Xenopus tropicalis: one gene and its partner. The protein of the gene in region 2 purifies or fractionates together with the protein of the main gene of each other region. This does not show direct contact. Links are inferred from orthologs where the notes say so. Each region holds a gene or a part of one and is shown on either strand. Other genes may lie near its edges.

Region 1 (2,415 bases), on a different chromosome or scaffold from region 2:
GAAGCACAGTAGGAGGGGGAGAGCCAATCACAGCCCTGCACTCACACAAGCACAGACAGGCTTCAGTTCCCTATCAGGTCAGCCTAGCTGCTGATTGGTTCCTATCCTACAGTACAGAAACACAACTTTTTAAGCACAATCCTTCTATATCTAGAGGAGTATAATTCCCTGGTACATTCTTAATTTTTATAGGATATGTCTCCTTTAACCCTATCTGTAACAATGGCCCCTTTATTGGAGCTCCCTATAGATCCTCTCGGGTCCCTGTCTGGGTTTCCAGTGAGGGGTGGGCGTGTCCTAATGGTCCCTCTAGGAGGGGGAGAGCCAATCACAGCCCTGAACTCACACAAGCACAGACAGGCTTCAGTTCCCTATCAGGTCAGCCTAGCTGCTGATTGGTTCCTATCCTACAGTGCCGCCGGCCCCCCTGCACAGCCTGGGAAAGGAGGCAGCAGGAAGTGGGTTTTTGGAGAAATTTCTCAATAAATCAGCCCCAAACACTACTTTTTAAAGCCCATTCCTTCTGCATTTAGATGAGTACAATTCATTGGCACAATATTGGTTGTCACACAGTGTCCCCTTTAGTTCCGCTCATTGAGTGTGAGTGTGTGCCCCCCCGCAGCCTGACTCTGTGTTCTCTGTAGGTGCGGGAATGTCGCCGCCATACTTGAGCTGGACGAACACCTACAGAAAGAATTCATCATATTTGAGGCTGCCCCCCAGGAGACGAGAGGTATCCCCTCCAAGAAACCCGTCGCTGATTACTTCCTGTGACCCGCCCAATGATGGCCTCTGCACCATTTCCTCCTGATTGTCTTTTTGAACTGCTCCCAGCACAACTCTCTCTCCTCCTCTCACCTCTGGCAACGGGACCAGTGCTGCTGTTTCTAAACAAATGATTTGCCAGCGCCCAGCTCCGCTGCAGAGCATCGCCCCTTCTTTTCTAGATCCATCTCACGGAGCCTCGTGTGTGTGTGTATGTGTTAGGTAGCAACGGTTGGGAAGAGAGAGCTACCGCTGTGTATATAGCATGGCCGTGCCACCCCTACAGTGAATTAGCAATGCCCTGCCAGCTCTTCTAGCAAAGGAGGAGATATCCGGAAACTCCTGTAGCCGTGCTGCGCCTCTCAGGAAACTAGGTAAATGTAATGCTCTGCAGGACTTTCAGGGGGGGTCAGTGTGATGCTTTCTAGTAGGGAGAGAGGGGGGGGCAGCATTATGCAAGGAAACCAAAATACTTCTAGAATTCACAGCTTCTTCCTTGATTTTATAACCCCCCCCCCCCCCCAGATCCGCAGTCATTCCTTATAATGTCTCTTCCACTCGGAGCCTCACGTCCCCTGTACTAAGATGCTGAGCTTACACTCACGTACGGAGTGCCTTAGTGCAAGCGGGGCCCGGGCGCCCAATCCCAGCTGGGGGGGACCAGGAGAGACATGATGATGATGATGATGATGGAACCCGCCGCCCCTTCTCTATTTAGAAGCTGCGGCAGATCTAAGATTTGAGCCCCTTTTGGTGCCGATTGGCAACTTTTGAGCCAAAGTGTTCACCGTAGCTGGCCCCTGTAGCTCAGCGAAGCCATTCTGGGCTGCCGGGAACGTGAGTAGCCATTTTGTTTAACCCTTTGTAAGCGGCTAGCTGAGAGATTGCTTTGGCAAGGAGGCATCTAAAGCTTCAGCTCGTGTATTGCCACCTACAATGCCAAACCTCCGATTCCTTCCCTGGAACAGCCGATATTCCATTATAACTCCCTTCCTTTCGTCTATGGCCCCAGTCTCTTGTTCCGCACTCTTTCTGGTCAAAGATTTTATCCTTTTTCCCTTTTATTTTTATTTTTTTTTTCTTCTAATTTTACATTTTTGGTAGGATACAGTTAAACATCTGCTAATAAAATGAGAAAAAGCAATAAAAATGGAAAATGTATTTGTATATATTTATATGTTAAGTCTGTTAATGCTTCGGTTGGTCAGTAGAAAAGGGGCGGGTGTAGGACCCGTTATCCACAAAGCTCAGGGTATTCTAGATAAGGGGTCTTCCTGTAATTTGGATCTCCGTACCTTAGTCTACTAAAAAAAATTAATTCAACCAATAGGATTGTTTTGCCCCCAATAAGGATTAATTATATCTCCATTGGGGTCAAGTACAAGGTACAGGTATGGGATCAGTTATCCGGAAACCGGTTATCCAGAAAGTTCCGAATTAGGGGAAGGCCGTCACTCTGTTTTATTATTACAGAGAAAATTTAAATCGGTTTTATTTGATTAAAATGGAGTCTATGGGAGACGGGCTTTCCGTTATTTCGGGCTTTCTGGGTAACCGATCCCTTACCTCTACGTTGCAATTGGTCTTCCTTATTTATTTATTTATTTTTATAGTTTTTGGATTATTTGCCTTCATCAAATAGGGGTCACT
Region 2 (2,844 bases):
CACTATTTATTGGGCTGGGGGGGCTGATTGTGCCTCTGGGTACTGGGAATGCCAGGGGGGCTGTAAGGTGCCACGGACAGTCACTATTTATTGGGCTGGGGGGGCTGTTTGTGCCTCTGGGTACTGGGAATGCCAGGGGGGCTGTAAGGTGCCAGACAGTCACTATTTATTGGGCTGGGGGGGGGGCTGTTTGTGCCTCCGGGTACTGAGAATGCCAGGGGGGCTGTAAGGTGCCACAGACAGTCACTATTTATTGGGCTTGGGGGGGGCTGTTTGTGCCTCCGGGTACTGGGAATGCCGGGGGGGCTGTAAGGTGCCACAGACAGTCACTATTTATTGGGCTGGGGGGGCTGTTTGTGCCTCTGGGTACTGGGAATGCCAGGGGGGCTGTAAGGTGCCACAGACAGTCACTATTTATTGGGCTGGGGGGGGGACTGTTTGTGCCTCTGGGTACTGGGAATGCCAGGGGGGCTGTAAGGTGCCAGACAGTCACTATTTATTGGGCTGGGGGGGGGGGGGGGGCTGTTTGGGCCTTCAGCTAGATGCAGGTAGAAGAATGAATGCAACAATTTGATTGGTTGCCATAGGCTACTGCCATGGGCAAATCTGCCCAGTGTTGATAAATGACCCCCAGTGTACCCTCTCACCAACATCCCATTGGAAAGCTATAGGCAAGCAAACCAATATGAGCCCCTGAATAACTGATGGTAATACAATGAATCTTCCCTACCTTCCTTACCAGCTTGATAGCCATTCCAGTCTGTAGTGAATAAGCAATGATGAGATTGTCTTGCCCCCTACTCCCCCCCGCCAGAATGTTTGGTATCATCCAGAACCCCAAACCCCCAGAGCAAACGGCAAAGCTTCTCTATGACTGCCCAATATCAAAAGGTTCACCCCAAACTGTGATATCTGCAGACGGCTGGCGATGAGGAGGAGATTATGGAAGGGATAAATCAGAAGAGAGCCAAGTGTACTGCACAGAGAGGGTCTGAGCCGAGTGCGGCACAGGGGGGCTGGCCGGCGCTATAGCAACAGAATGGTGGCGGTTGTTGCGGTGCCGCCGCACACACAGATAGGAACCCACGTTTCCTCCTTTGTATCAGGCTGATGGTGAGAACTTGGATCATCACAGTTACCTCTGGTTTCAGACTATTTACAGCTCCTTTCCCCACGGCCAGCAGCATACTAACAGGCAGGGAACACACTGGGGACAGAAGAACAGACGTTACTGGGATGGGCCGGCATGGGGGCTAATATACCGACACTCATAAACTACAGATTATATTATATAGTGAATAAAGTGCCCCCCTATTGTAACATATAGGGATATTATAAGTCCCATAGGAGTTCCTTATAATATATAGTGAATAAAGTACCCCCTATTGTAACATATAGGGATATTATAAGCCCCCGAGGAGTTCCTTATAATATATAGTGAATAAAGTGCCCCCAATTGTAACATATAGGGATATTATAAGCCCCCGAGGAGTTCCTTATAATATATAGTGAATAAAGTGCCCCCAATTGTAACATATAGGGATATTATAAGCCCCCGAGGAGTTCCTTATAATATATAGTGAATAAAGTGCCCCCTATTGTAACATATAGGGATATTATAAGCCCCCGAGGAGTTCCTTATAATATATACTGAATAAAGTGCCCCCTATTGTAACATATAGGGATAATATAAGTCACTGAGGAGTTCCTTATAATATATAGTGAATAAAGTGCCCCCTATTGTAACATATAGGGATATTATAAGCCCCCGAGGAGTTCCTTATAATATATAGTGAATAAAGTGCCCCCTATTGTAACATATAGGGATAATATAAGTCACTGAGGAGTTATGTGACCACAAGGCCAAAGGTAAAGTGCTTATACAGGTCACGGAACTCTGAAGTGACTTCTACTAGTTTATTACAATATATAAGTTTCAGTGAGTCATGTGACAGAAATAACATCACTAAGCTCCGACTGTAACTGATGACATCACTAAGAACCATTTATAAGGATATAATTTACAGTTTGGTCCCATAGGGAAATTAACAAACTGTACATTTATATACATAATATACAGTAATATACATACTATATAATATACAGTTTGTTAATTTCCCTATGGGACCAAACTGTAAATTATATCCTTATAAATGGTGCTTAGTGATGTCATCAGTTATAATCGGAGCTTAGTGATGTCAGTTCCGTCACATGACTGACATATATATGCAGCCTGTGTATGGCAAATCTCATTGGGTCAGGACTGCATTGGGTCATGGCTTGGGGGGGGGGGGGTGGTCAAATAACCGGATGAGACAAGTAAAACAAATGTATGTACCCATGCAATCATTAGACCCTGCAAGGAGAGTCCTATTGGACGCACACAGTCGCTGCTATACAGCCAATAGCGACACCAGCTCTTACCAATGGAATCCGCCCACTGATTCTGCGAACCTGTGACGCACCAAGAACGTGGCGACGGCTTCTGCAACCTTGAGAGAAATCACATGGCCCAGAATTAGGAACAAACTTAAAAAAAAGCTTCAATTCTCTCCAAGAGACATAGCGCTCTATAAGTCTCACCTTATCGGGGGCATCTTCATGCACAGCGTGTCCGCACTGGGGCAGCACTTGCATCTGAAACTTTCCTGCGGCAGAACAAGAAATTCAGTGATGAACCACACTGCAGGGCTGTGATTGGCTCTCCCCCTCCTACTGTGCTTCTGGCAGGGACCGTTAGGACACGCCCACCCCTCATTTGAAACCCAGACAGGGACCTGAGAGGATCTATAGGGAGCTCCAATAAAGGGGCCATTGTTACAGATAGGGTTAATGTTTAGCCCA

Evidence for each region.
Region 1: the proteins of ppme1 (region 2) and ppp4c purify together in Homo sapiens (affinity purification with mass spectrometry; 3 studies listed by BioGRID and IntAct, with this or other methods). This does not show direct contact. The link is inferred for Xenopus tropicalis from reciprocal best matches to the Homo sapiens genes PPME1 and PPP4C.

Annotation. Positions count from the first base shown.
Region 1 is NC_030685.2:2,447,928-2,450,342, reverse strand, and holds the end of ppp4c (serine/threonine-protein phosphatase 4 catalytic subunit), read left to right. Parts: intron 1-644; coding exon 645-774; 3' UTR 775-1,915; downstream 1,916-2,415. UniProt on the Homo sapiens protein: Protein phosphatase that is involved in many processes such as microtubule organization at centrosomes, maturation of spliceosomal snRNPs, apoptosis, DNA repair, tumor necrosis factor (TNF)-alpha signaling, activation of c-Jun N-terminal kinase MAPK8, regulation of histone acetylation, DNA damage checkpoint signaling, NF-kappa-B activation and cell migration.
Region 2 is NC_030678.2:174,863,636-174,866,479, forward strand, and holds the end of ppme1 (protein phosphatase methylesterase 1), read right to left. Parts: intron 2,649-2,844; coding exon 2,584-2,648; intron 2,493-2,583; coding exon 2,425-2,492; intron 1,208-2,424; coding exon 1,189-1,207; 3' UTR 501-1,188; downstream 1-500. UniProt on the Homo sapiens protein: Demethylates proteins that have been reversibly carboxymethylated. Demethylates PPP2CB (in vitro) and PPP2CA. Binding to PPP2CA displaces the manganese ion and inactivates the enzyme.